Linked DNA regions of Stegostoma tigrinum. The protein of the gene in region 1 binds, or shares a complex with, the protein of each later gene. Links are inferred from orthologs where the notes say so. Each region holds a gene or a part of one and is shown in the gene's direction. Other genes may lie near its edges.

What was found.
Region 2: the proteins of growth/differentiation factor 11-like (region 1) and follistatin-A-like are in contact, whole or in part, in a crystal structure (PDB 5JHW), measured with the Homo sapiens proteins. The link is inferred for Stegostoma tigrinum from reciprocal best matches to the Homo sapiens genes GDF11 and FST. Residues at the interface, in NP_005802.1 of Homo sapiens: Asn299, Leu300, Gly301, Leu302, Glu310, Arg312, Asp328, Trp329, Ile331, Ala332, Lys334, Arg335, Tyr336, Lys337, Tyr347, Met348, Phe349, Met350, Pro354, His357, Gln361, Ile380, Asn381, Leu383, Phe385, Asp387, Lys388, Gln389, Gln390, Ile391; in NP_037541.1 of Homo sapiens: Leu34, Arg35, Gln43, Val44, Leu45, Tyr46, Lys47, Thr48, Arg60, Ser62, Asp72, Asn73, Leu75, Phe76, Met79, Ile80, Leu134, Asp135, Arg149, Gln153, Pro154, Glu155, Val180, Val181, Asp182, Gln183, Tyr188, Val190, Thr191, Asn193.

What each region holds. Positions count from the first base shown.
Region 1 is NC_081404.1:18,607,973-18,623,986, reverse strand, and holds the start of growth/differentiation factor 11-like, read left to right. Parts: upstream 1-7,457; 5' UTR 7,458-7,610; coding exon 7,611-7,992; intron 7,993-16,014. UniProt on the Homo sapiens protein: Secreted signal that acts globally to regulate anterior/posterior axial patterning during development. May play critical roles in patterning both mesodermal and neural tissues. It is required for proper vertebral patterning and orofacial development.
Region 2 is NC_081354.1:127,246,943-127,263,156, reverse strand, and holds follistatin-A-like, read left to right. Parts: upstream 1-7,811; 5' UTR 7,812-7,970; coding exon 7,971-8,055; intron 8,056-9,283; coding exon 9,284-9,475; intron 9,476-9,886; coding exon 9,887-10,105; intron 10,106-10,558; coding exon 10,559-10,786; intron 10,787-11,866; coding exon 11,867-12,094; intron 12,095-13,362; coding exon 13,363-13,463; 3' UTR 13,464-14,078; downstream 14,079-16,214. UniProt on the Homo sapiens protein: Multifunctional regulatory protein whose primary function is to antagonize members of the transforming growth factor beta (TGF-beta) superfamily including activin, myostatin, GDF11 or bone morphogenetic proteins (BMPs).

The sequences.
Region 1 (16,014 bases):
CCTGAACAGCACCGTAGCTGTTCCTACACCAAATGGGCTTCAGCAATTCAAGAAGGCTTATCGCCACCTTCTCCAGGGCAACCAGGTCAGCCAGTGACGCATTCATCTCTGTCAACAAATTTAAAAATGGAGTGAATTCTCATGAAGTCTGATTCATTGGAAACAAGTAAAAACATCCCAAGACACTTCATAGGTGTGTCATCAAGTAAAGTTTGACTCCGCATCACATAAGAAGATGGAGTATAAGGTTCAAAAGCTGCATCAAAATAGTTGGTTTTGAAGAGCACCTTAAAGGATGCAAGTAATGTAGAGAGATGGAAAGGTTTAAGGAGGGAATTCCAGAGTTTAACAGCCCAGGCACCTGAAGACACAGTAATCAATGGTAGAGTGACGGAAGTTGAAGGATGCTCAAGAGGCCAGAATTAGAAAAGCTTAAAGATCTCAGAGGATTGTTGGGACTGGAGTAGATTATAAAGAAAGGGAGGGATAAGACCATGGAGGAGAATTTCACAATCAACAGTAATCACCACCTACTTCCCTTTCAACTGATGAATGAATATTCCTAAATATAAAAATAGAGGACTTAGGAGCAGCAGTAGGCCATTTGGCCCATCATTCGTTAACTGCATAGCTGACCTTGTTACAGTCAAACTTGGTCTTCCCTCTATAACTCCGACTGCCTTGTCAATCAAGCCATGAATAGATCCAGTTACCAATGCTTTCTGGGAAGACGAATAACCTTCTGAGAGCAAACATCCTCTTCTCTATCTTAAAAGACTTATTAATCTTAAACAGTGTCGCCTAGTTCTTGTCTGTGCCAGGAAACATCTGCCCAGTAACTGTCCGGTCAGTTCCTTTCAGGATCTTGTATGTTTCAATAGATCACCCCTTGCTTTTCTAAACTCTCAAGGGGTATAAATCTGGCCTGTACAACCTTTCTTTGTAAGATAAGCCTTTCAAGAATAGATTAGTGATCCCTCATCTGAGAAAACAGTCTTTATGGTCAATTTCAATAAAGAAGTAAAGTTCTTAAATTGAGGTGATCCATTCCAGATGACTATCACTATGGTGCATTAGTGTACACATTAAACTAGCTACCTCTCTCTTCAATTGCTTCTCTTCAATGACATTTTCTGCCAATTTAATATAATTAGAAGGAAACCAAGGGAAGGAAAGCATTGAATATTTTCAGTGCAGGTAACTTCAAAGCCCTTAAAGAGAACCTGAATTTAACACCTCATTTAAAATGTGGCACTTCCAAAGTACACCTATCTCACAGTATGATCCATCCAACAGTACTGCACTCCCTCAGTACTGACCCTCTGACTGTTCAGTATTCCCTCAGTACTGCTTTTGCACCACTCCCTCAGTGCTGATCCTCTAACAGTGCAGCATGCCCTCAGTCCTGGTGCTCTCAATCTGGATTATATACTCAAATCTCTGGATAGGGTCTGAAATCAAAGCTTTGACTCTGACATAAGAGTGCTACCAATTGAATTGAAGCTGAAACTCCAATATATGAGAATAATTTATCAAAGGCAATACATACTACAAAACATTGATGATCAGTTCTGATGAAGGGTCTCATGTAAAAGCAATAATTTATTTGACCTCTCTACAAATGCTATGTTTCTAGTACTCACGGTTTTTGTTTCAGATTTCTATCTTTATCATTTCTGTTCCTATCTCCTGGGTTTTCTTGTTATTCATCCCAAAATGTTCATAAAAGCAGTCAGTCCACAAATCACTCCATTGTCAGATATTGTGGAAAATGGTGGGAGGGTTTATGACTGAGTGTTTTTCTTACTGATGGAGAGAGTGTCAAAGCCTATTTCATACGACACCTTTAGTAGCAAATTAATATTTTTAAAAAACAAATATAAAATCATTTATGTAGCTATTTTGGTCCTCTTTGACCCATAATTAATGGTTTAATTGGCAAGTTACCATTTTAATACATTGATACCGCTAAATGTAATGAGACTAAAAGCATCTTTTGATGTCCATAAAACATATTTTTGATGAGTATTAATAATGATTAAACAGGACCACAGATGGTACAATTTCACACACAGCTCCTTTAGTGTTTAAAGCTCCATTAAGCTTAGACTCAGCACATGCATAATAAATGATATGTGCTTCGGCACAGGGATTCTTTAATGAATGGTGTCACTGGCTTCCACATCAATCACTGCCAGCTCTCACTATATGCAAAATATTGATTCACTTTTAAATACATTTTATTGATGAAACAATTAACTTGTCATCTGATCTCTCCCCCTCATCTCAAGCCTCTCTCCCATTCTTATTTCTGTGGATGATTCTGTCAATATTGCTCAATGACCTCTCCTCATCCTTTCTCAGTTCCATAAGCCCCCAGTTTAAGTGCCCTCTCTACTTGCATCCACAATGTGTTGAGATGACCCATTGCACCACCTCCAACTCCAACTCATTCATTCCCAGGCTCTCCAAATTGTGCATGTCTTGAGCTACTTGAGCCTTCCCTTCCCTCCCCTCCACAATCTACAGGCATTTAAAACCCAAACTGGATTTAATCGCACCCCTGCTCCAACTCTCTGCATCATGATTGTGTGGTGCTCTGTACACTAGGTCTTGCTTCATTACGTGTGGCTCAGTGAGTAGCAAGCACCCATGCTCTTGAGAATTGACCGAGTACTGCAGTGTCAGAGATACCATCTTTGAGACAATGACACATGAAACCTGTCTGCCCTCTCAGGTTGGACGTAAAAGATCCTGCAGCATTTTTGGAAGAGCAGTAGGGAGTCCACCCTGGTGTCCTGGCCAACATTTATTCCTCAATCAATATCACAAAAAAATAGGGGATCTGTCATTATGACATTGCTGTTTGTGAAAGATTGTGTGCGGATTTAAAATAAGCAGTAGATCATCAGTAGGACACCTTGAAATAAATACAACAAAAACAAGAAATTGCTGGAGAAACTCAGCAGGTCTCGCAGCATTTATGTCGACAGATTTTGTGCGAACACAATCTGGTGAAAATCTGCTTGGAAAATGAAGTTGCAGTATGGTCCAGTAGGTGGCAGGCTGTGCCCAGCCTCCGCCGAGGGGGAAGCTGCTTTCCCGGAGTCGGCACCAGCTCATGACGGTGACATGGTCCAGCAACCTGCAGAACACTGTTCACTCCGTGTCCACCACAATATGCTCACCCTTCGGCGTATTGTAAAAACTGCAATTAATTTAATAAATTCTACATAATTCAAAAGTCAGCATCTTTTGTCCACACCACCACCTCCCCTATTCCCACATTTAGCTGGATTAGGATTTTGAGGGACTGAGAATGGAATTCCATACTGTTTAGGAAGTTTGGGAGGGGAGCGTGGCAAGGTGGGGTGGGTAGGGTCTGAATTAAATCCGATGAAGTTAAATTGATTTCATATCAGACAGCTGGAGGGCGATTTTGCAAATGAAACATCTAAATATTATTGTTTTAAAACTTCCAAAGCCTGTAAACACTACAGATGTTTAACAAAATAACCGCTGAGTTTTATAAAACAAAACTAACCAGATTTGTTTTATTTTGGAGCGGGAAGACATGCACTGATCAGATACAGAGGGACATGTACAAGGGGACAGAAAGTAGCGAGAATGGGGATTTCAAAGGTTTCAGATAAAGGTCGGGGGTGGTGTCTATATGAGCAGGGCTATGGGAGAAGGTTGCAAAAACAAAACGAGGATTGCATTTGAAACGGCTCGGCTTTTAAATTCTCCTGGGTTAAAAAGAGGGTATTTCTCGCTTCAGTCCCAATGGATGGGCGGCCAGGTCAAGGACAGGGTCCCGGAAGGGAGGGAGGGGGTGGGGTACTCGGAAATCGATGGTTCTTGCCCCAGGGCTTCTCATCCATCAGCTGAGGCCCAGTCATTCGCAGAGACAGGCCGAATCTGCAAAGGTCACTGCAAGTCAGAGCCGACGGGCGCTGAGACAGAAGCACAGGGCGGCCGCAGTGGTTTCACAGAGCGGCGGAGGCACCGCCAGGCGGCGGCACTGGGACGCAGATCGCCCAGAACAATCCCGGGCCTCGGTTGGGTTCACTTCTCAGGACGGGCCGCACAGAGGGGGCGCGATATCATCGAGGATGGTTCAACACGGTTAAAGGGCTCAATGGAGAGGAAAGACTCCCTCTTGTATTAACGGAGACTCTAGAGAAGTTGAGGTGGGAGTGGGGAAGGGCAGAACCTTCACCACGAGAGCCAGGGCCGTCTGGGGTTGGGGGGGGGGGAGGGTGAAGGTCAGGAAGCAGAAAGGAGGGACAATCTGCAGCACTCTCCCTATAAGATGAGGCTGGCTAAGGGACGCCACTTGAACATTTAAAATCAATTGATGATAGATTTCTGTTCATTTAAGGGGATTAATAGAGCGGGTTCTTCAAGTTAAGATGTCGATCAGCTCGTATTTGACTGAGTGGCAGAACATGCTTGAAGGATTGCCTCCTCCTGTTCCTGCGGTGAATGGCCTCCCCCTTTCGTGAAACGTTGGGACTTGGTCATGTCAAACCTGGAAACCAAAGAGACTTTTTTTTGGCCTGTTTGTTCAGGCCAAGGGCTCCCACGTCATTATGGCCTTAAACTGTACAAATCAATCGCAGGTTGACATCTTTGTGAACCACAACCCCAGACAGAATCCAGAAGCGAGACAAATGTACCACTAAATCATTTTAAATAACCTTCTAATGCGTTCAGGAAAAAAAGGGATATGTTCAACGAGCCTAAATCTCTTGCTACCAATCGGGTTTCCAGGATCTCCTCCAAGACTCCTGTTTCCACATAGAATGGAAATTCTCTCCGGAAATCTGACTTGGTATAATTCATTGTCGACCAAACCTTCAACCTTTACCGTTCTTGCCCAGGCTACTGTCTTCAAGGCAGTCCCACCACCATGCGGAAATCAACAAAGTTGGAGCCAGGATTTTCCTATTGCCAGCCCACGCCCACCACGCCAAGTGTTTTTAAATCTGAATCCGAATCCAACATTCAAACAAGACAGTGAACTCCCAAAAAGCCATGGATTTTGGTGGTCAGTTGGAAGTTTCAAACCCGAGAGCTATAGATTTCTGATCGAGGGTGTGTTCAAAACAAAATCCCGCGGATGCTGAAAATTTGAAATAAACACAGGGAATGCCGGAGAAACTCAACAGGTCTGGCAGCATCCATGCAGGTTAGATAGAAAGCAGAGTTAACGTTTCGAGTTCTAGTATAATTTCTTCAGCAGTTGAAGGTTCACTGGACCTGGAATGTTACCTCCAGTATCTCTCTCTCTCTCTCTCTTGCCCCCCCCCCCCCCCCCCCCAGACGCTGAGTTTCTCCAAATCCGCCATGACCTAGAGGAAAAGCCTCATTCTATACCTGCAAAATCACCCCATGAATTTGCTTTATTCCCAAACAGTTTGCTGTGTTCGGACCGGAGACAGCTTTCTGTTGTTTTCGATGTTAAACATTTGTTTTTGAGGTTTGGGTCACAATGCGTAAACTAGCACATGAAGCTGCACCTCCTTAAAATACACCCAAACCCAACGATGGAGAAATTTCATCGCAACAAAACCCAGCGGATATCTGGTTTACAGAACGTTGGATGAAGACGCAATTTGAAAGCGTTCTGTCTGATAGTGAACAAGCTGAAAACCATGCAGGAGCAAATGACTGCAGATGCTGGAATCTGTACTGAAAAAAACGAATGCTGGAGATCACAGCGAGTCAGGCAGCATCCACGGAGAGAGAGCAAGCTAACATTTCGAGCCTAGATGGGTCTTCATCAGAGCTGAAGACTCATCTAGGCTCGAAACGTTAGCTTGCTCCCTCTCCACGGATGCTGCCTGACCCGCTGTGACCTCCAGCATTCGTAGTTTGCTGTCAGGATGAAAACTCGGTCAGCTCCTCTCACCTTTAATACGGAGAGGAAAACCGGAAACTATTCGTGTTTTTTTTTCTCCGTTGGCCTCTCTCTCACAAACAACATTTTTGCTGTTGTTGTTGGTTTATGATAAATCCGATAGAATAATTTCAGTAATTTGATCCAACGACGGAGGAAGCCAGAGTTCGACGAGTGATTTCACTTATGTCGATGTTCGCGAATCTGGGGGTCAAGATACAAGGCAAATCCGTTTTGATTTCGTTTTATACAGAAGCCTTGTTACAATTACAACTCAGGTTGAATGCAAGCCTCAAAGGACAGTTCACACCGAACGTTTAACTGATTCAATCGAATGATGCATTCTCTGGTCCTGTTTTACTTCTTGGGATTTACGAGCCCGAAGACAAGGAACGTTTTAGTCCTCTTTCGAAGACCTAAGAAATATTACCTTTTCTGTTTGCCCTGGGACGTTTTATTGCGTTAAAAGCGCTATGTAATTAGAAGTTTTTTTTACTGGTGTTGTCGAAACTGCGATTTTACGGGGGAAGCTCCCGTCCTCTTAATCTAAACCTGATAACAATCATTCAATTACAAAGCAGGTATGAACGTGCATTTCGGGTTTTTAAGTTGAATCTCTCCACAAAGTACCGACTCCCTAATAATTGCAACATTTTGCATTGTAACATCGAGTATTTTCTGACCTCGCTTGGTTTTAGTAAATATGAAGTATAGAGTCGTCACGATTTTAGCTCCCAAAACAACTTAGAATTCGTCAATGAAACGGACCTACAATTGACAATGCAGACTATTCCGAGAGTTCACTGCAACATAAACAACAAACACGTCGAGCAACATAGTTTGAAATGTAGAAATAGCTATTGCTTTAATGACAAAGATTAACAAAGTGATGAATAAGCGAGTAATTAATACACATAATAGCATCTCGTGGTTAAACGCTTTTAAAACAGACCTGAACTTAACAAGGTGAATCTAAACTGGGAGAGGAATTCGAGCTTTATTACAAGCAAATATTGTCAGAACCAAAAAGCCCCGTCTGTACCCATACCCCACCCCGCTACCCGCAAGCGAACACTGCCGCAATTGTCAATATTTTAATTTACCAGAACCCCCGCCAAAAAACTCCCGAAACCAGTGGTGTTCATTATAAGTCAGTATCACACTGATTTAAAAGGAACAACAATTTACAGAGAGAGTAAAAAAGCTAGACAGAAAAAAAAACCTGTAAAGAAATTAGAAATTAAACGTGAGGACAACGTCGGTGATTTATATACACGTTTAGGAAAGGTACTGTCACTTAAAGCGAGGAACATGAACCTGTAAACACTCCAGCTGGCGCCCCACAGAGCGCAGTAAGTGGGCTAGGAGAGCGCCCGAGAGGAGCAGAATGGCAGCCCTGAGAGCAGGTATCCTGAGACAGACAGCGCGGCTAAAGGACGAATGGTAACGGGCACCTGGCACAAGGCGATTTCTTATTTTCTCTCGCTCTCTCCTGAAAGCCTTTTGTTTGGCTCTTCAGCCAATCCTGGATTTTTACGACACAATAGTTGTGGCCAAAGTAGTGATATAAAAAGGGGCGCCTCAGTTGATCACTTATCATCCACTAGCGTGTTACTCACCGACTGTCCTCTCCTCTCCTCTCCCGGCTACAGTCTGGATTCCAGAACTTTTCATTTTCAACAGGGCATAGACACACACAGAGATCATGCATCAGTCACACGTTATCTTTTGCCTTCTGGTCTCTCTGGGATTGACAGTCAGTGACGAGCCAGTTTTGGAGAAAGATTTGGAAGCCAGGGAGAGGGTCTTGGACCAGGCGGAATGCTCAGCCTGCTTGTGGAGGGAGCACAGCAAAGCCTTGAGGTTGGAGTCCATTAAATCTCAGATCCTGAGCAAGCTGCGCCTGAAACAAGCTCCCAACATCAGTCGGGATATTGTCAATCAGCTCCTGCCCAAAGCTCCCCCTTTGCAGCAACTGTTGGACCGATATGATATTCAGAGTGATGACTGCCTTGCCAAAGAGACTCTTCTGGAAAACGACGAGTATCACGCCACGACAGAAACTGTCATTACCATGGCCACCGAACGTGAGTACCTCCGTGCCATCTCACACATATTGTGTAATGATCATGCCGATCGGCTCAAACAGAAATTAAAGGGGAAAATGCTCATACTGGGGAGTTCAGTCTCTGGCAGATTATCTTAGAAACTTGAACTGCTGTTGTCGCTAATAACGACAGTTATGTGAAATGTCGCTTAACAACCTCGTGTTGCTGTATCAGGCACCTCCTAGTAGCTCTCTTGATGAGGTAACGATTCTTGAACTATCCTCTGAGCGGTTTGGTGTGCAAATATCGCAAACAGTAAAATCCACATGCCAATGCCATCCGTAGCCATTGTGTGAGACTATGCAGTAGATCCTAAATCTTTCGTTCAAAAGAATCTGCAAACCTAGAAGTAATCTTAAACTAGCTTTTTCCCCGAAATGACAATGAATTAATTACGCCACTGTTAACAAACCAATCTTTTACCCAATATTTCTAGGTTATCAGTCTCAGATCACTATCCGAAACAACTTTAATTCTGCGCTAGATGATATTACAGGAAGTTCTATTCTACAGTTTCCCGTAGTCCTAAACCCCAATTCCCGGACGATATTTTATAAAATAGAACAAGAGTAATTTCAGACCAGAGGACATAAAATATCACGGTCATTTTTTAGATTGTTCTTCACAAAATAATAGCAACTTCTAGAATTTGGATCATTAAATATCAGTAATTTCTAAATTATAATTCAAGAAATATCGCAAGTTCTAGACTGGTTCGTTAAGCTACTACAAACTAATTTTAGACTACAGTTGATAAAATATTAATCTATTGAAATTAGGGTTATCATTCAAAATAGCACGACAATTTCTAGCCTAGAGAACATGAAATATTGCAACACTTCAACTTTCATTTCTATAGATTATGAACTATCAGAAACAGCAATTTATTGACAATAGTTAATTAAATGTCAAATTTCTAGATTATTATTGAGAAAAATCATAAACAGTACCATGAAGATTATTATTCATAAAATACTATTTTCAGAGTTCAATTTGTACAATGTCTCAGACCAATTTCAAAACCACGGCTAACATCGCAGAAGTTTCCAGACTACTGTTCAAAAATAATAAATAATCACTTCTGGACTATATTTTATAAAATATTGTAAACTAATTTCTAGAGTACTATTTAAAATATCAGATAGCGATTTACATTAAATATCGTAAAAAGTCATTTCTGTACTCCATACAATGAAACAAACACCAATTCCTAGCTATAGTTCATAAAATATCACAAAAGGTAGCCTCTAAGCTATAGATCTTACAATAATATCACAAAACAATAACATTAAGCAAAATTGAGGGTGCAGGCTGCTTGGTTCTCTTTAATACTGCACAGTTAAACATTCTGTTTGTTGTCAGAGGAAGTGGTGGGGGTGACTGGCAATGCATTGGAGTTTGTGCTGCAGGGGATATAGAAAAGCAGGGCTGTTCTTTGTGGAAGTGAAAGCAATCCTGTTATGAAGACAGGAGTAAGTTGAACTGAGGGTTGACAAGACAGTCATAACTGGGAGGAAATGATGAAGAGATTGCCCTATATCCAGTTAAGTGTCCCATCCTTTGCATATATACTTACTGCTTGGGCACAGAAGACATTGTCCCAGTAGAATGTTTCTCCTCTGCACCTTCAAAGAGGAAACGTTTGGGCACATTCATCCTTTTGCTGCTGTGTTTTAGCATAGAACGACTGCAGTGGTGCACAGTAATGTCTTGCACAAAGCAATTTCCAGTTCCATTCACTGAGTACCTCCAGCAAGATCTCCAGACAAGTTTGCAAAGTCTAGAGTTCCACGAGGCAAGTCATTTAGGTACAGGGCGCTACTTGGAGATGATTGGGGGGGGGGGGGGGGGAATTCCCATCATCTCTTTTATCCTCTTCTGTTTGTAGACACAATTGGAGGGAGAAGACCAAGATAGGCAGTGTTTGGGGGGAGTAATGGTAATGGTAAGGGGTAATGGTAACTATCATAGATAATACAACTGAAGCCACTTGGAATTCAATGGTTTGGCTTAAATGGGTTCAATGCCACCAACAAGAAAGCATTCTCCATTGAAACTCCATTTCATCATCTTCATGGCATAATATGTACTAGTACTAGCCTAGTGACCCTGTGTTACACCTCAGTATCTGAACTGTTTTAAGAGCATGAGCTTGCCTAGGCATTGCAACTCCCATTCTTCTCCTCGGAGGCTCCTGCTGAAATGAAGTGAGACAGGTTGGTTTCAGGCACAATACAACAGTTTGTCAAGTAAGTGTTTCACTCCCATCACTGAACATATGCATGCTAGAACCCAGGGACTGCAATTAGTTTGAGGAAGAGGACACTGAATTAAGTGAGGACCAAATGGAGATGGCAGGATGCCACATGTCAACAATTCAGGCAGGGAGCTGGTATGTTACTGGGCATGTATTCATATGAAAATTGATGCAGGGATGAAAAAGGCATTTGCCATTGTTTGAGACTAACACGTGCAGCCTGCAGTCACTGGTATTGGCACCTCCACTACCCCTGCAGTCACACAGCATGCCAAGGAGCTTGTGACACCTCAGAAATCTGTAGAAGAGCCCCAAAACTGAGGAAATGAGTACTAAGTAGCATTCCCATAGCACTGTGAATGACATTCATTAAAAGCTAGACTCCCAAACTGCGCACGGTGGCTCAGTGGTTAGCACTGCAGCCTCACAGCGCCAGGGACCTGGGTTCGATTCCAGCCTCGGGCGACTGTCTGTGTGGAGTTTGCACATTCTCCCCGTGTCTGCGTGGGCTTCCTCCGGGTGCTCCAGTTTCCTCCCAGAGTCCAAAGATGTGCAGGCTAGGTGGATTGGCCATGCTAAATTGCCTGTAGTATTCAGGGGTGTGTGGGTTATAGGGGGATGGGTCTGGGTGGGATGCTTCATGGGGGTGGTGTGGACTTGTTGGGCCAAAGGGCCTGTTTCCACACTGTAGGGAATCTAATCTTATTGGCACCAGATGAAAAGACTGGTCAATTATTTGCAAAGAAGGCATGGCATCTGTGTTATCCACATCCAACACAGACTACTCCATGTGCAAATCACTGGGCATCCAGATTGGATACTCAGCTATGGTGCTCAGTAGGATTCAATGGACCAATTAGGTGGTTAAAATTAACTTCTACCTCACCCCCTCCCATTCCACCCAGCGTCCTCAAACGGATTGGGCAAGTGTCTGAGAATGAATTTGCATTGGCAGTCACTGTAGACCATTAGACGTAGGAGCAGAATTAGGCCATTCAGCCAATTGAGAATGCTGCAGCATTCAATTAGAGCATGGCTGATCTAATGGTCTTTGCCTTCGCTTTCCTTCATTTTCCCCATAACCTTGAATTCCCTTACTGATTTAAAATCTGTCTGACTCAGCCTTGAATATATTTAATGACTCAGCCTTCGATGGTTAAAAAAATGCATAAGATTCACTACCCTCAGGAGAAATTCCTCCTCCTGTCTTATTCTGAGAGTACCTCCTTTGGTCCCAGGCTCTCCCACAAGGCAAAACAACTCTCTACATCTACCCTGTTAGGTCCCCGAAGAATGTTCTACGCATTGAAATTTTGAAGAATGAGAGGCAATGAGTACAAACCCAACCTCTCCTTGTAAGACATTTCCTCCACCCATATCCTAAATCAGCCTCGTGAATCTTCTCTGGATTGCCTTCAGTGTCGATATATCTTTCCTCAGATATGGGGACCAACTGTTCAATGTATTCCAGCAGCAAGTGCCTATTTTTATATTCTGTTCTCTTTGAAACAAATGTGAATATTCCATTTGCCTTCCCCATTTCCAATTAAACTTGGATGCTAGCTCTTTGTAAATCATGCACAAAGACTCCCAAATTCCTTTGTGTTGTAGTTCCTCCATTTAAATAATATACAGTTCTTCTACCTGCCAATGTGCACAACTTCACATTTTCCTGCATTGTTTCATCTGCAAATATTTTGTCCACTTGCTTAACCTGTATATATTCTTCTTCAGACTTTGTGTCATCTTCACTAGTTGCCTTCCCACCAATCCACATCACCCCCATAATTAGCTATAATACATTCACTTTCCTCATCCATTTATCTGTATTGTAAATAGTTGTGTTCCTTATTGTACTCCATTAGTTACAGGTTGCCAACCAGAAAAAGTCTCCCCTCTTCTACCAATCCCAACACTATCTTTTAGTTAGCCAATCCTCTATCCATGTTGTAATACTGCACATAGTGTTGGAGGTAGCATATCTTATCAAATGCCTTCTGAAAACTCAAATAGATTCACTACTTTGTCTCTATCTATCCTGCTTGTTACCTCTGAAAAATTCTAATCACTTTGTCACAGATGATTTCTTCTTCATGAAACCATGCTGACTCTGCGAGAGTATGCGTCTCTAAATGAGCTGTTACTACATCCTTTATAACTGATTCCAACATTTTCCCAAAAATAGATAGTAAGCTAACTAGCCTATTGATACTTGTCATTCATTTCCCTCCCTTTCTAAATAAAAGGCATTCCATTGACAGGTTTCCAATCCTCTTGGACTTTTCCACAATCTGAGAATTCTTGGAAGGTTACTAACAGTGCAGCCATGATCTCAGTAGCTATAGTCTTAATAGCCTAAGCTGCATCCCGTCAGGTCCAGGGAACTTATCAGTCTTTAGCCTCATTGGTTTCCGTAGCACTTTTAGCATTGTTTAACATGTCTCCAGAAGCAGCAAGGACAATACCTGACATGTCTAGAGTCCAAAGGCACCATCTGAACAAGCTCAGATCATCTAACCTCAATTTACCACTGTAGCTAATCCTCCAGATTAGGGAGTATATGAACTCAGCCCAAGACAAACATACCTCATTGGGAGGTCACCAAAGGAAAATGCAAGTGTAGGATTTATACCATATTGCCTATGCACACAGCACAGAATACATCCTGATCTTATAGTACCCTTTGGAAGGAATGTGCAACCTGTTCTTAGGCTTATAATAGATAAGCTTTCCACTGCTAGCAGTAGTTCTTGATCAGAGTTCTGAAGCAACCTTTCAGCCTATACATAGCATTCATGTTAATCTATTTCCTCTCCCTGTAAGCCTACTCCATATGACTTCCCATACTCACTCGTCTTTGAGGGTCACCATTTTATAGCACGCAGACAATAAATGCTTCAAGACTTTTGCTGTGTGTAGGGTAAACTTGGCCACTTGAACAGTCTATACATCGGATGAAAAAATACCATTCAGCCTCACAATCTTGTTCCAGTGGACACTGGATTACCACATAATTCTGGTGTTTTCCTTGCAACTTTAGGTGCCTCAGTACATCAGTCCTGTATTGACTTCTAGTTGGAGATCACCAACCTTAGCGACCAAGGGGTAACCTGGTTCAAAAGAAATCAAGTGATGGAAACTTTCTTACCATTGCTCAATGATTCAATCTCAAAAGACACTAGCTGCATTAACTAACCTGTAATGGTGCATCTGGAACAGGAGGTGGCAGCTTGTTGGGTGCAGTGGAGTACATCCTCATCAGTTTTCCAGGACAGAAAGCACCAGCTAGGCACACATTTGTTGGGTGGGTGGGCTCTCTAATACAGACTTACACAGGGCATGCATATAGGTATCAAGGTCATTCATCTCGATCATGCCCTTTATGGCAAAGATTGCTCTCAATTACTGTTCAGGTGGCAGCGGACCACAAATATATTACCATGTATTTCAGTGGCTGTCATCCAAGATGCAGCTACAATGTCCCCACTGTGCGTGTTCCCACAAAGTTGAAAGACACCGGTTGGATGATTTGTAGGAGAACAAGGCTACCCTCTACAATTATAAACCATTGATCTGGACACCACTGAGAGAATGTCCTTAACAGCAAAAGCAGCTTGACTTGAACATCTAACCATCTGCTTGGACTGTTATTAAAATCTTTAGGAAAATTGCACCTTGAAACTTAGATATGATGGGCATCCTGAGGCTGTGAAAAAGCCTTTGGAAATGCCTTTCTTTTCCCTTCCGGCTGCCACAAACATGGTCCAGATTATGATAGATGTTATTACAGAGGCTGAAACAAATCAATTCAAACATTAGCATGTTGCGCATGCTAAGTATGTTTGATCCACAGCTCTTGTGCAGTTAATAGACATATTTAAAATTTGCTTTTTTTTGGAAATACTATCTCAGCCTATCTTGCAGGATTGAGCAGTTTGTCTGAAGCTATTAGAGAATGCAGAAGTGTAAAGAAAAATGTTATTTGCTTCAATGATTTATAGAAGATACAATGGAGATTGTAGGAGAAGGTTCTCCTAGAATTGTGGTCAGAGACACTGAATGAGAAAAATACCAACAGTAAAAACCCAAAAATATAACCAATTTCCTTGTGTGTTGGTCCTTCTTATCCAATTCATACAGCAACAGTTAAAGTAATTCTCATTTTCCTTGTTTGGTTAGCTGCAGCTTGCAATACAGTATTGATTATCAAGTCTAGCACAGCAAACTAAACAGTTTGTAAATAAAGAAAAAATGAAGGAGGAAATAGAAGTATCTTAAATGTTTGATGCAGAAGTAGTAAATAGGTTTTGAAAAAAAAGTTCTGTGCTTATATTACAAAAAGTTATTTTGAGCTATAGATTTTGTGTAAGATGCAAATAGTTATTTTAAGTTGTACCTTGAGTGCAAATCACAGACGTTTTACACAATTGATCCTTTGTATTCATTAAAAAGTCATTTTCTGCTATAGATCAAGTGTAAGTACAAAGTCAATTTACACTATCGATCAGATGCAAGTTGCAAAGTAACGTTATGCTGTATATCACGTCGCAAAGTCACTTAATGCTGTAGAAATGTAAGGCGCAAAGTCACTTTCAGCTATATTTTGTATGTGCAAGGCATTTTGCGCTATAGGTCATATACAAATGTGGCAAACATCATTTCTTATTCCATAATTCAAATGATTGGGGTACAGTACACACCTTCCAGTACTGAGGTTCATCGGTTAATGTTATAAACAACAATTTCTAAGCTATATTTCAGATCTGATTATTACTTGTGGGCAGTGTTTTCATGCAGAAATAAGTCCATCAGCAATTTATAGACCTATAATTTGTATGTTAATACCCCAGATAATAATAATTGCTATATTATGGTTCAATGGTTAATATCACAGTAGTTTCTGTGATATAGTTCATTCAAACAAATTGCAACAGCTTGTAGACTATGACAAACAGCGATTTCTGGGCTATTGTTCACGCACAACAATAGACAGACATTTCTAGGTAGATTATTTCTTGAGCGGGGTAATCAGTTTGAAATAAATTGTTTGAACGTGTTTCCTGAAACATAAGTAAATCAGCGATTAGAAACCATATTACTTGATTATCTCAACGATAAGGTCTTTGCAACAGCTTTCATCCTCAGAAGAAAGTCATTCTTTTAGCTGATCCTTTGAACGGGGTGTTATACTCTATACTTTAGATTCCAGACCTTAATCACTCTAAAATGAAATCATTTGAAAAAGTATAAAGGAGTCTGGGACTGAAAGAACTTTTTGGAAAATATCACTTTACAAAAAAAACAGACAAATTAGTGATAAAACCTCTGTTAAATTTTGGCTGACAAAATACCCCCAAGAGGAAAAATATGAAAGGTGTTTGGAATGATTTGGCATAAAATTACAGCTGTACATTATTTCCGAGAGATTCGGGCTTGGTAAATTGGCTAGGGTGTTCAGTTTTCCAGGTGATAACCAGCTTTCTCTTGGTTCCAATATCACAAGTAGGAAGTGTGTCAACCACTATATTGATAATTGATACTTGACAGACAGTATACACCAGCATTATTTATAGCACAAAATATTTTACTTAAAATAGGATTCTGACTTCACGCAGGACCTGTTTTCAGTTTTAAAAAGGAGATGTGGGTGTCACTGGCAAGGTTACCATTTATTGCCCATCTCTAGTTACCCTTGAGGTGGTGATAATAAGCCTTCCTGAATTGTACTTCATGTGAAGGTATGC
Region 2 (16,214 bases), on another chromosome or scaffold:
GTTCGCTCCACACTCCCCTCCAGCCCCACCACTCCCGGCACCTTCCCCTGCAACCACCGGAAGTGCTACACTTGCCCCCACACCTCTTCCCTCACCCCCATCCCAGGTCCCAAGATGACTTTCCACATCAAGCCGAGGTTCACCTGCACATCTGCTAATGTGGTATACTGCACCCGATGTAGCCGTTGTGGCTTCCTCTACATCGGGGAAACCAAGCGGCGGCCTGGGGACCGCTTTGCAGAACACCTCCGCTCGGTTCGCAATAAACAACTGCACCATCCCAGTCGTGAACCATTTTAACTCCCCCTCCCATTCCTCAGACGGCATGTCCGTCATGGGCCTCCTGCAGTGCCACAACGATGTCACCCGAAGGTTGCAGGAACAGCAACTCATATTCCGCTTGGGAACCCTCCAGCCCAATGGTATCAGTGTGGACTTCACCAGCTGCAAAATCTCTCCTTCCCCCACTGCATCCCAAAACCAGCCCAGCTCGTCCCCTCCCCCCACTGCATCCCAAAACCAGCCAGGCTCCTCCCCGCCTCCCTAACCTGTTCTTCGTCTCACCTATCCCCTCCTCCCACCTCAAGCTGCAACCCCATTTCCTACCTAATAACCTCATCCCTCCCCCTTGACCTGTCCGTCCTCCCTGGACTGACCTATCTCCTCCCTCCCTCCCCACCTACACTCACCTTTACTGGCTCCATCCTCACCTCTTTGACCTGTCTGTCTCCTCTCCACCTACCTTCTCCTCTATCCATCTTCGATCCGCCTCTCCCTCTCTCCCTATTTATTTCAGAACCCTCTTCCCATCCCCCTTTTCTGATGAAGGGTCTGGGCCCGAAACGTCAGCTTTCCTGCTCCTAAGATGCTGCTTGGCCGGCTCTGTTGACCCAGCTTCACACTTTGTAATCTTGGATTCTCCAGCATCTGCGGTTCCTATTATCTCTGGCACTGAAGTTCATGTGCAGCATTGCTTAATTGCATTTTTCTGTGATCGGACTGCTCTTCCTGAACAATTTTATGCGCTATTGGCTACATGAACAGTCAATTTAAAATATTTATCTAAATTCATCAACTGACATTTATTTTTGCAACATATATTTGATGGAACCCGTTTTCTAAGGAGGAAAGGAACATGTTCAAGCTTGGCACCTTTTGTGAACTACCTGAAAGGTGGATTCCGATAGGTCTCTGTAATTTTCTCCATGGCAATGCCTCAGCCAATCAGAGTCAACTTGACAACAACTCAGCATCTCTTTCTTCTGTTGTATAAATTGCTGTGATCATTAAAAATGCAACATTCTTGTATTTGTCGTAATGAGAACAAATTGAAATTTTCAGCAATGTTTGTATCACACTTAAGAAAGTTTCAAATTTCGCACCACCAAGTCATGCAAGAGTGATATAGAATGGGTACCTGAGTAATGGGCAAGTGCGACCATGAAAAGTTCTGTATCTATAATCTTATGTATCTCAACTCTTTTATTAATTTAAATAAAACAAGGCAAAGCACTCAGTTGTTTTCTACAATGCCAAGTCATTAATGACAATAATTTAATGGAAGGTTACAGACATTGAAAATGACAAAGTTTGTTTTATAATACAAATGTATAAAATAACGAGGGGATTAGATAGAGGAAAAGTCATTTACCGGTGGGAAGAAATTTAAGGTGGTTGGTCGGAAGATTAGCGAAGCAGAAGAAAATCTTTTTCACCCAGAGGGTGATGGGCATCTAGTATTCACTGTCCAATGTGACGGTTGAGGAGAAAACTCATAAATCAGGCTCCTAAATCTATAAAGCCATACTCCAGGCTCTGAAAAGTGAGAATAAAATGGGCAGCCGATCTGCATGACCTCTCTCTGTGTCATAACTTTTCTATTGTTGTATTATTCTCTTGGTCATTTGAAAATTACAAATTACGTTCCAAGACTTTGCTCATTTCTCAATGACGGGGGAGAACCAGTGACTTTGCGTACTGTACAAAAATGGATCAATAATGCACATGAAAAAGATTGTTGTTTTACGGTGGCTGGATGTCGATTTATATCATTAATATGCAGGCCTTCTCGGTTCTCCAAGTGGCTGCAGTCTACTAAACCGATTGCCAACGCGTGCCTACATACCCGGTAACTCGGGATGTGTCTTTACACCGAAGTCTATCACCAAAAACACGAAGACGATCACTTGTATTGAAACTGGAGCTTCTTGTAATGAATGTGACTTCCGGAAGGTGTTTGTCTTCAATCTGACTGTACTTTTGAATATTTGGTTTGTCACTTTTCTTTGATCTTATTGATCTATTTGTTGAAGCTCGGGATTCAGCCCTCATTCTGTGACCTAATTGGGTCATTCGCTAGTTTCCTCACTAAACTAATAATTGTTGTTTAAAATAAACCTTTCATTAGGCTGGATGATTTTGAAGACAGAAGTCAAGTAAGACATTAAGGATAAATAGAAACAACAAGTTTCCTTTTTATGTTGCTATTAAAGGTAGTGAAACCTATAAACAGCGTTATCAAATAATATTTGGCGTGATTAGTTCTAGTCGCAACCTCAGGACTATAATGGTAACACATCAGAATGAGATCAAAAATAGTGTCCAGCATCTTAATTACAAAACAAAAATCAAAAAAACACAAAACAACCGTCACATTGGACAGTGAATACTAGATGCCCATCACCCTCTGGGTGAAAAAGATTTTCTTCTGCTTCACTAATCTTCCAACCAACCACCTTCCAAAATACAAAACAAAAAAAAACAAAAAAAAACAGAAATCTGTTTGGTATGTATATCCAGGAGTCTGTTAATAGCTGGAAAACAGACAATCCGATTCTTTGACATAACATTCTTCGGGACATTGTACAAATTAGGTTTGCGCTCTCCAAGATACAGTTAGCGTATCTCAACTATCAGAGCTAAATCTGTGGCATCGAAATGAATTAATGTCCATTAAGTAGGTTTAATGGTTAAATTAATCACAATATTGTAGGCAAGTTGTGAAATAGTTGATGTAATAAATAGAACAATACAAAGAATAAGATGTCATAAATATGAACGTGTTTACATTCAGTAGCAGAGTTTCATCTTTATTGGATTTCTGGTCGTCATTCAACTCTATTTATTAACAATGAATATATCAAACAGTCAGGAAAATCGACTAATGAAACTGTACATTTACCTTTCCCTTCTACTGCGCCATTATATGGCATTGCTGTATTCATGAATTTGATATAGTAAATTACAACTTGGATCTGATTTTATTTTTAAAATGTTGAACCTAAAGGTGCTAGTCACGCATCGGTTAGTGCAATTACGTTTCTTTGTTTTTGATTTTTAAAACAATCTTCAGTAAGATATTGAAAGTATGTCAGATTGACTGTAAAAGGGACCTCTTGACACGTACCAAACACCAAGACTTCTTTAGAACTTGTTGACATTTACGACGATATTTATGATGATATATATTGTTTGGGATACTTCGCGTCCCGAAAGTAACACGTTCAGGGAAGTTAAAGGTAATATGTACTTTCCCGTTAGTTTGGTATTATTTGAGGTCCATGTGAGAATTTGCCTGATAACATCGAGCATAACAATCCAATTCCTTCTGTTGAATTATTTGAAATAAATGCTCATAGTGGGGTGCTACTCAATTGCCAAGTTTAGTTTTGACTACTGACAACCTCGATCGAACAAGTGCATCACTTACAGGTGTGATAACGGTTACTCAAATTCGTCAAAAACAATTGTTTTATGGCCTGCGCCATTTCATGAACATGTTTATTTGATACGTAATTTACTTTGTTTTGTCGCTGAACAATTCCAGGTACTCAAGAGTATTAGTCATTTCGTGGCAGTCAATATCTGTGAAAACCAATTTACGAAGTCAGAACCTATTAAGTGTAAACAGTCAGGACGGCGCTCTCTACAAATGCTGATCGATCTATTGTGTTTTTGGTTATTTCCGGCATTTATTAACCGTTTGGTGGTTGATATTTTTCTTATTTTTGTGGATGATTTAATAACAAATGTCTTCCCATGGTTATAAATTAGTAAGGACTTGCCTGATGGTTTGTAAAGCTACGAAAATGTTTAAATTTTCAAAGCACGTAGCAAGCTATTCGAAAATGGCTTTGGGAGGGTATAGAAGCTTTTTTCGAATAAAAGCTGACAAATGTTTGCATTTGTCTCTTAGAGACAGACGACCTAAACCGTTGATTTCAATTCTACCTTAAATGGTATCCAGCAATTAAATGCCAAAGCCCCTCGTTGTTAGTTAATTATTTTTTCCATGCAATCAATAGGCACAACAGTAAAGCTCATTTGTTTCATTTAATTTTGCAGAATATTTGGATATGGATTGTGTTCAGATCTTAGAATTAACTATAGTGTTCTGCATATTAGAAGCAGTAACTAGGCCTATGCTGCTTGACGTATTAGATTATCTAAGGAAATAACCATATTCGTAACCAGCTTCAAATACAAATATATTGATAAATAATATCGTACTCGTATCGAAACAATTCTGGATTGTAGAAGAACGCAAATTCTGTTTCACATTCGGATTGCTGAATGATTGATTAACAATGTTATAGTCTTGTGAAAAGCACCAAATATTGTAAATACCTCGGAGCTGCAGATTAATTGTTTCAAATGCTGTTATGAAATTGACAAGGTTTCTGTTTTCAAAGTGGAAGTAACGGATTGCCTTAAAGTTTTTGATTGCCATAGTAAATTGTTGTTAGTCACCATAACTTAAACACTTTGACTCATATTCTTAATTGCTCAAGTTTAGTATGAAACTCATCAATATCCGTAAAACTTCCAACAAGCACCTGTCGGATTCTGGAAACTGGGTCAAAAATGTGCATGAGCGTATACAACTGTCGTCCTGCAGAGGTCTCACTTCAGTTTCCTTGTAGACGAGCGGAAATTGCATTTCAGTCTCCTTTATTTTCATTCTCATAAATTTCCACCCTCGACATTCCTGTTTCCCGCCCTCACTATCTATCCCCTCACTGGGAAATGATAGCCTAGCGGTGTTATCAGTAAACTGTTAATCCAGAGACCCAGATAATGCTCTGGGGAGCCGCTTCGAATCCCGCTATTGGCAGATGGTGGAATTTGGATTCAATAAAAATATCTTGACTTAAGAGTCTAATGACGACTTGGAATCGATTGTCGGGGAAAAACCCATTTGGTTGGCTAATGTCTTTCAGTGGAGGAAACTGCCATCCTTACCTGGTCTGACCTAAACTCACAGCGATGTGATTAACTCTTAACTGAAGTTACGGATGGGCAATAAATGCTGCGTAGCCAGGGACACCCTCGTCCCGTGAATCAATAAAGGAACTATCTTAATGTGCTATTTTATATTCCCCTTTGTTGCAGCATTTATCCTTGATTTTTCATTACCATTTTCATTACCATTTATGGATAACGATTTATATTGCGCAATACTTGTTTTCTATTATTTTTCACACCCGTCAGTTTGCCTCCAATATTAATCTTTTAAATTTATTGTCAATTCTATGTTTGTTTTCAAAACTCTTGTTTTTCCTTTTATTGTTTTTGAGGATGTAAATTGCTCAGCAGTCGGTATTATTCGCTAGATGTATCAGAACTGGGTGAGATTGTCCAGTTCGTCAGTCCTCAATCTGTAACAGATACTTGATGTTGGATTACAAACGTTGAACATCCAATAGCCAGAGTGACACGCACATAAAACGAAGTAAATCACGAGAATGACAGATGTGCGTAGTTCCCGTTGGAAGGGGATTTCAGAAACAAATACATAGGTATGTGAACAACATTGGCAAGAGACACATGGCACAATGGCAGTACAAATATCTTCATATTGGTAATTTCCACTGCCTATTTAAAAAAATAAATTCTAATATAATGTGATGTCTCGCGTCTACCTAATGTTGTTATCTACTGCTGCGCAGTTTGATTTGGGAATGGTAGGTGTATTTCGGTATGTTTTAGGTTATCTTGGTTTTTTTTACCAGTATCTGCTCAAACCCAGACTTCCTTCGCCAGGTGACAGTTACGTTGACTTTTCACGGTTCTAACTCTACTAACACAGAATCTAGATTTGGCAAGAAGGAAAGTCTCTGGTCGCTTTGGCGAGATAAACTGGAAATCACGATTGGTGCACACTTTAGCTGCAATTGCCTCGTTTGGATCGTTAGGGGGCTGCATTAGTTTTTTTTTGCACGTGTATCAAACCACAATTGCCATGTTGTGGAATAACAGGCCAGGATAATCTGGGACAGAAAATACGGTTTCGCAGCATTGAAAACGGAAATTATTTGCGTGGAACTGCCTTGTGCAACAAGTTTTCCTACTGTCCGCTGGCATGGCACTGTCAGGTCTATTTTGAACGTTAAATAGTGTAACTACTACCACCAGCCTGAGGCACCCAAACAACTGTCTCTGCTAATATTAGAATGATTGCATTTCTGACGATTATTATAAAGAGACTTTAAGAACCTATTGTAATAAGTCTTTATTAAAGGATTACTACTTTATCCCGCAGCTGGTGGAAACTGTCTGTTATCGCGGAGTTATTTCTAGTCAGATCATTGCACCTATCAACACTAAAAAAGTTGTCTGATTGTTTGTACCTATCAGGCTGAATACAATTAAAGTCGGACCGCGCGTTTTATCTTTTTCTTGGGGTGAGGTTTCGGACAGAACGCAATAGCGCCGAAACGGTAATGAAACAAGGAAACGTAATCCCCGAGATAGGCGGCGACAGATCGCCTACGTACTTTTTCTCTCCGCCAAAAGCGAGTTCATTGAGCAACACTAAAATTCGACTTTCGATGTCACAATCTCAAATGGAAAATACGAGACCGCCTACGGCATTTCACAGACATGCGAAGTCTGCTCCAGTTACAGAGACGCGTAACTTTGCCAGATCTGGGTATTAAATCTAACTGCTTTTCCAATACCTACTGGCTGAACACACCCACGGTGTCAGTGTCCTTGGTTTGCACTATAGCCATTTAATACAGTGATGCATTTCCCGAAATACTCAGGTGGCAAGAAATCATTAATATAAATAATAAAACTAAAATACTGGTAATAGTTCAAACTGTAGGAGTCTGCAAGAGAACACTGCAATGCAAAAACCACCCCACGCGCTTTTTGATGCTGAGTTAATGGAGATTAGACATAACAATAAACTCTTTTCAGTACTATCCAACCCTCCGAGACATAGACATGAGACGAAATATCGACATTACGTACACAGGTTATGGGCGAGCTGAGGGTGGAGTTGTCGCTTTACCAGAGAAATTGGATTAGAAAAGCTGGGCGGCATTTACTCTGGCTGCTGTTATATTTTCTTGTGCATAGATTGAGACCAGTTACTTTGACCCACTGATGGTGTCTGGCTTCTATTTTCGGAATATAGCTTGGTTAAAAAATCAACAGGTTAGAATGTCTACTGCGCTGTAGATATAAAGGTGGCCCAATAAGAGAACAAAATAAAGCAGAAGCCTTAATACACCTAGGAACAGTATATTTTACTTCAGCCCCTTCCCGCCCCCGCAATCTTTCTCCATGAGCTTGTACAATCTTGTCAATTACAGAGAGAAATTGACACTGTGACCTGTAACCAGACTCGGATGCCTACGCTCTCGGATGTTATACAGATGTATTTTGTGTTTGTGAAATTGACGGAGATTTTAACTGAAAAGTTTAGAGGAGGCGGTGAAATGTCACCTGATTAAGTTTCCGTCCACCTTAACTTTTTTTTGATCACTTCCTCCTCCCCCATCCTGCCAAACGCATCACCATGCCATCAGAAGACCGCCCACCAAAGAGACCAGCCAAGACCCCTTTCAGCCAAAATATTTAAGAGTGACTGCATTCACAGATTGACGTTCATTCAACACAGCGATCGGACTTGACTGGTGCTCTCAGATCAGTACTTAGCTGCGGTGAAATTGCGTGCCACAATGCTAAGGATGCTAAACAGCAGAACAGCGTCTCTCACCATTTCACTTTTTATCTTCCTCACCATTGGAGACCAGCGAGTGCAGGGTAAGTTAAAGCAGTTTGGAGACCTCTTCTCTGTATACATTTGTGGACATGGCTCTTAGTTTCATGTTCTGTTTGGTCATGTGCCTGCATGTTATTTTCTCGAGTGAAGATAAAGCCCAACGCTGATTCGGTTTATCCTTTACTTCTACTCCAAACTTTTCAGATCAAAATACGATGTAGCACACGTGTTTGTGTACTCAATTCACATTTACCAGAATGTGGCCGTACAGAATTAAAGCAGGGTGCAATTTAGCATTATCTCTGAGCAAATAGTTAAGCATAAATAGGATGTGCTGGGATCCTGATAGTGAAAGTTTACTCGATCACTATTCAGTTAGAAGCAAAGGGGAATTGCTGATAAACAAAACGCCTCATTGATGTTGCAGATGGATCGAACATGTAAACGTCCGATCGAGCTGTTAAATGTTGCTCACATCGGTAACACCATGCGACTGAAGCAGGATTAAGAAGCGAGTATGATAACTGGGTCCAATGGAAATTATTGACTTGTGTGATGTTAAATTTGCCTGTTCTATATTGCTACCTCAACAAAGTCTCTTCCATGTAACTGAAAACTCGATATACAGTATATATTTAGATTGATATCAGGCGGTATCAACAAGAAGTCTAGACTATCCAGAAGAGGCAGCAGAGTTCAGGCATTTTTGGAACGAGTTAATACTACAGAAAATAGACTATGTTTCTATTCCGGAGTGACTGTATGAATAGATTTTTAAAAATCAACGGTTAACACTTAACACATAACCGACGCCGTAGGTAAATACAGAATAAATACAGACGCTTGTCGAATTGTCAACCAAAGTTTGTTTTCGCATGAGTCTGAGACAAGTAGGCCGCCAATCATTTATTTATTTCGGATTTTGCGCTCTGCGTTTTCGCTGTAAGGATGAGTTTTGGCAGTTTTTTTTGTTCCACCGCACGCGTTTACAGTACTTCAGCCTGCGCTGTATTGGGTCAGAGCCAAGTAACTTTCCAAGTGGGACATGTCACGATTCAAAGTAGGCACAAGGTAATGGCAGAGAGGTGTACATTTCAGGGGCAACCCGGTTACTGTCCATGGCGGGGAAATGTCGGTGGTTTTAAGCTCCTCGGTTCACCCAGACTGAGACGGAAAACTTTGAAGTAAACACTCGTGTACCGTCAATACACAGCGCACGTGTTGTGTCTGGAACGGTGAAACTGACACTGCTCTGACTGTGTGTTGCAGCTGGGAACTGCTGGCTCCAGCAAGCCAAGAACGGCAAATGCCAGGTTCTTTACATGACCGGGGTCAGCCGCGAAGAGTGCTGCAAAAGTGGAAGGTTGGGCACAGCATGGACCGAAGATGATGTGCCATCCAGTACCCTTTTCCGATGGATTATCTTTAACGGTGGAGCCCCGGGTTGTACGCCTTGTAAAGGTACAGATTTCACTCGGTCTATCTGATTCGGAACTGTTGGTGCTCATCTTCACTGGATCCTGCAAGGCCTATTAAAGTTTACAGATCGCTCGCGAAATGATTCTAATGCGCGTTTGCTTTGGCTAATCACCCACTCGGTCTCGACTCATTGGAGTGAACTGCTTCAGAAAGACTCGCTGGATTGTCATGGCTTTCTAAGCGGTTTGTTAAGATGGCGACTGAGTCTGCGCTGTTTTATCAAACCTTGCATTAAACATCTGGAAACAGAAAGCTTATAAAAATGCAAAACGTTCTGTCATAAATTACTCAGTTCAGTTAGTAAGAATGGGCATGTAACTTTACATTTCGAACATTATATTGATGCATGGAAGCAATTTCCACAAAACTCTTGTCTTTCTTTCCCTGTAATAGAAACCTGTGATAACGTCGATTGTGGTCCAGGTAAAAAGTGCAAAATGAACAAAAAGAATAAACCTCGATGTGTCTGTGCACCCGACTGCTCCAACGTCACTTGGAAGGGCTCCGTTTGCGGCACAGACGGGAAAACATACAAAGATGAATGTGTCCTGCTGAAGGCGAGGTGCAAAGGGCATCCCGAACTCGAGGTCCAATATCAAGGCAAATGTAAAAGTATGTGTGCAACAAGTACATACTCAATAACACGATTCTGCAAGGGACGAGCCGCTCGCTTAAAGGATGTTTGCATTCCATTCTCTCCTAGTGCGAACTAACAGATTGTTCAACTCACTTGCAGTGTCTATTGAGTGATTCTCCACACCGCCCGCATTTTAACTTTGAATTGATTTGTGTTCAGAATAATTTCCCCCACATTTTGTTCCTAAATTAAATTGCGTTCAGTAAATGTTTGTAATTGGGGTAGTATAGAAAGTGGATTATTCCACCGCCATTTCTTTATTGTTCCAAATCCTCGCCTATTAAATAAATATTGCAAATTTAAAAGTGATCTGTGTTTACTATGAACACTAACTTAAACCTCATAAAATCAGACGATTGTATTGCAGAAGATTACTTCCAGTAGTGCTCACCTCACTTTTGTTTTTAATTGCTGTCTTTGTTTTACAGAATCATGCAGAGATGTCTTGTGTCCAGGCAGCTCTGTGTGTGTGGTAGATCAGACAAACAGCGCCTACTGTGTGATGTGTAACCCGAGGATCTGCCCTGAACCTTCGAGCCCCGAGCAATATCTGTGCGGCAATGATGGGATCACGTACGCCAGCGCCTGCCATATCAGACGCGCCACCTGCTTGATGGGCAGAACCATTGGAGTGGCGTACGAAGGGAAATGTATAAGTACGTACACGATACCTCACAAAGCGTAAACTGCAAACCATTACGAAACAAGTACAAATACAGCGTGGGATGAGTTTTCTTTTTGTACGTATAATTGGAATGCAATGGATAAATGTCAAAGCAAACCTAATGAAGTACATTGGATATTCGATTTTGAGCTCTAAAAAGCACATTTGATATCGCTTATAGAAGCATGTAGAGAAAAGATCATTTTTGCTAATCAACAGAATTTGTTATCGTGTCGTCTGAACCTATTCTTAAATCTGAGAAATGAAATTGTCAATCATGGATTTTTTTTAAATTTCCAAGATTATTTTAATTTTATGGGTTTACAATTATAATTGCAATTGTAGAAGACTTAAAGACATTTAACGTTTAATTTCCCATCTGGGGCTGTCGTATTTAAAAGTACTTTAGCAGATTCGTATGGCTTCGCCTACTCCAATGTCCAGGATTATTGCATTACAGAAGAAAGATTCAGAATTGAATCGTTCCAATTGTGGCTTTTAACCTTAAATTATTTGTTGCAGGGCATTTGCCTAATAGCTTCAACCTATTCCAAATTCTTCAACAACCAGATTAGAAATGCAGTCTTAATGTGTATTGGAGTGTATGTTTACTCATGTGGACTATGACCGTTCAATGATAGAAGCAAATGTTACAGCTCTGCTAATTGGTTTAAATATTATTGGTAGTTCAACTCATTCATGTTTAGTTTGGAACACATTTCTCAATTTTTTTTAAACTATTGAATTATACGTACAAAATGAAGGTCTTTAATTACAGATACTTAAATATAATGTTGAGTGCTAGCATCAATGACGGTCTTTAAATATGTTTTCTGCTCTTATGTGGAAAAAAAATCCATTGACAAATCTATCAAGCATGGTGTATTGAAATCTCAACAATGAATATTGTGAGGGTTGTAGGTTAGTATGGTTTTCATTTTGAATTTTGTCAGACAAATCGTTGCAGTTGAAGAGTTTAAATTTACTTTCTGGTCCAAACATTTGACTGTATTGTCAAAGACAGAATGAATCATTCTATTCATAAATATGATTTTGGGTTTATCTTTTTCAGAAGCCAAATCCTGTGATGACATACAGTGTACCCCTGGAAAGAAGTGTCTCTGGGATAGCCGGCTTGGCAGGGGTCGGTGCGCTGTTTGTAATGTATGTCAGGGTGGACGCTCAGATGAGCCAGTCTGTGCCACTGATAACACCACGTACCCCAATGAGTGTGCAATGAAAAGTACAGCCTGTTCCTCTGGCACCCTCCTGGAGATCAAACATACAGGATCGTGCAATTGTAAGTAAATTTTATCCCACAATAAGATTCACTGTTTATGCCAGGTTTTATGTTATCAGCTTTCCAAACATTTTGCTGTACCAAATATAACCTTGTCAATTGTACCTATCAAACAGGGAATATGCATGCCTTTCATGCTTCTATATGAACAGTGGAGGAACATATGCACTGTGTGCTAGGTTTAGCCAGACAATAAATTTGTTAATGATAAGCATGTTTAAGATTTTGCCATATGTTGATGATAACAGGATACATCTATTTCCTTCCCCTCCCCACCATCAACAGTTTCAATAAAGAACTAATGAGTAATTAGGAAATTTGACACAAGAATTTGTGAGATGTGTGATAGCAATAGTACAGGTACCTTCCCCATCGATACTAAGAAAGTATATCTGCCCATTCATTTATGTTCAATCTCTACATTTCATTGAGATTATTGCCCACCATTATCCATTCTTTCCATCTCTGATATCAGCATGTTTATTAAATGCTGCCAGGATTGATGTAACACAACTATCTTGTTTTATACACAACTCTTTAACTATTGTACAATTTTTATTTGGAAATGGTGTGCGCTGTTTTTCCCCTTGAGGGAGTATGTCTAATTGAGGATCTCATGATCGTGGTGTGAAAGTAAATGATATAATATTTCATAAGACATAACTAGGCATCAGAGTGTATCTTGCTGTCACTGTAGTTAAAATTAGTTTTCTTAAAAAAAAAGCTGCAATGAGTTATAATTGTTTGGGATTCATTGCTAAATAAATGTTATAGCTAATAAATGGTGAAGGTTTTTTGAACAACCATACAATGGGTCCTGAAGCGATTGCTGTCCACATTGAGAGGAAGAAATCATCAGGGATTATAATGCCATGATAGTAATAGATTGGAGTATCTATTATTTTTGAAGCTGATGCGTCCTTATCAATAGTAACCTTCCAAAGGCTTCACCACAGTTGTTCTGTATTTTAAAGCTATTACAATAGTTGATAGGTTTTAATCACTAGCACTGAGGAATGCAATGGATGAATACAATGTCAATTTAGAACGCAAGAACACTTCTATGTCATCCCAGGAAACTGCCATAAAGCCTGATCATTGATTCTTCAGAACACACTGCAATATTGGTATTATGTAAAATTACTTCATAATAACAAATGATGCAATCTACATTCTTGTGCCATGTAAGAGACTATTGTGGCTATCCAGAGAGATTTGAAAACATGCACTGAGGTTCTGCGCTGTTGTGATCCTTATTCATACAACAGCTACCATATATTCCCCCATAGCCATTACTGAAGAAGATGAAGATGAAGAAGATGAGCAAGAAAATAACACCTTTCCTAAATCACCATTTCCGATTTGGTAATTTCCTTCACCTTTGGAAGAGGAAGGAGTCGCTGTACTTATTTGTAAATAAGTGTACGCTTATTTATTTTGAAGAAGTATACATAGTTATGTCTAGTAGATTTTTATTTATACTGTCATGTTTTATAATTTATGCATAAAATTGGTTAACTATACCTGTTTTGGAAATATATTCGTCAAGAGAGCAGTGTTATCATTAATTTATTGTGACGTATGATGCTTGTAAAATACACTCCTTCATGCAACCTGTAAATTGCATTATGGTAGCTGTAAATGTGGCTGGTCATTTTCCTTTTGTGCTATGAATTTTTAGTTACGTTGCCTGCATGTTATACCTGGTATATTTATTTATTGGACTATGTTACACATTAATGTAAATAAAGCTCCAGATATTGTTTACAGCGTGCCATATAAGTGACCAAATGTGCTGCGTTTGGAACTTGTCAACTTGAAATGTTCTGCAGCTGCGTGGCTGTCAGATCACTTTCTGGCCGCATGTAATCTGACTGACTTTAGTGGTTTGTTTCTCTAAATGTTTTAACATAATGCAAATATTTCAGGGTTTTCATTTTGCTTAAAGTATTATGTTGCAGATGCAATTTTATATTTTCGAACATGACAGATTTAAATTCATCTAAATATATAGTTTTGTACTTTTTCTATCATGTAAATGTGCAATGTATATAAAAAGTAATAACATTGATTTGTAAATACATAATGAATAACAATAAAAAAACCAAGAATTTTCATTTTATGCTGCTGTTCTGTTTATATTATACATTTGAATGAAATAAAGTCTTTGCATGAAATGAAACAAAAAAATTAATTTCTGCAATAATAACCATGCTTATTTTACATGCCATTCACAAATAATATTGAGTCGACAGAAGGAAACATATGGGCATTCATGCTATTCTCTAAGATTTGGAGCAAGTTGTTATCTTTCAAAATCTTGCACAATTTCTGTTCTCCTCATTCAGAAACCTGTCTTCCAAGAGCATGTATCCAGTCAATGTACATTTTCATCATAAGCATAACCAAGTCACATGGTTATGATAACAATAATCTTTGCAGTTGGTGGATGCAGATCTCTTACTACTTACATTCACTTCTCCAAATAATACTATAGAACTAAAGTTATGTAAGAATGAATTATTAACATGGCAGAAAATGCAAATATAACAGAAAAAGACTGTCAGATTATCTGACAATCTGTAATATCTTTCTCAATATTCAATAACCAAAATGACAGGCTGCATGAATTTACATGAGTGCAACAAAGGAACCAGCATTTTGTTTTATGATCCAAACTAGTCTCTTTTTGCCTTCCTTTCATTTAACTTGCCATTCCTTTCTTTGCGGTGTATTTATTTATCTTCCTCTCAAATGCATACTTGCAATATTTGTCAAATTTAAAAACTGATCAATTACTTGATTGTATCTGCTGAAATTAAAATGATATGGCTGCCATTTGGAATAATCTCACTATTAGAAATAAATAATTGTGTGACAGCTAATATCAAAATCATTAAAGAAAGCTAATAAACTTTTAGTTTATTTGGATGGAGTACTAACATGCGAATATTTTCCCAAGCATGTCTCATTTCTCAAGATACTTTAAAACTTAATATGTTCTTAAACTGTGTGAGTGTTTGTGCAGCAAAATAGTATCATCTATACTGAACCAACATTGTTGAATTATTATGGATTTATTTAAACAGCACAGTTAACATAGCAAAACATCCTTCGGTACTCTGTAATTTGACACAAAGCCATGTGAGGAAATATTTGGGCAGGTGATCAAATATTTGGCTGAAGAGTTAGGTCTTAAGCACTTTTTTTAAGGAGCATCAAGAACAAAAGATGTCAATTTTCATGTTTGCACTAAAGAAACCTGGCTGTAACTTACCATCACCTTTTCATCAATATCTCTAGGTTCTCAGATCATTTGCCTAACATCTAGTACTGGCGGAGCAGGAGTTTTCTCCATTTAAGCATTAGGAGGAACAGAATCATCACCTAAAATCTTTGTTACAAATTGCACGTTGTAACTACTGATACAATCCACTCTGACAACTGCTGAAGGCTGAATCAGACAGTTTGCATCCTTGTCATTTTTGACAACCAATAAAGTTCATGGCCACAAGTTGTTCCATCACCAACACTGTCTATTTTCATCAGTGTAACTTGGCTGATTCCACTCTGCTTCAGTTCATCTGCTGCCGAAACCTCACACATTCCTTTATTCCTCTTACTTTGACTATTCCAATACAGTACTGGCCAGTGACTCATGTTGTATCTCCTGTAACTTGAGGTAGCCCAAAGCTCTATGCACTAACCCTAACTTGCACCAAGTTCCATTCACCGATCACACTGTGCTCACACTGGCTCTTGTAGAAGAAATGCTTTAATTTAAACATTCTCATCCTTATTTCATACCTCTTCCATGCCCTTGTACACTTTTTCCTTAAAAACCGAAAGAATTGAGGATGCTGTAAATCAGGAAGAAAAACAGAAGCTACTGGAAAAGCTCAGCAGGTCTGGCAGCACCTGTGAAGAAAAAAATCAGAGTTAACGTTGCAGGTCCAGCTAGGAGGATGATAGCTGGTAATGGGGACTGTTAATGATTGGCATTAGGTCGTGTGTAACGTCAGGCTTTGTGATAATGAGGCCTGGTGTGTGGGGTAGGGGGCTGGGTCTTGGGAGAGTTTAGGCCATAAATTATTGAACTTGATATTGAGTCTGGAGAGCT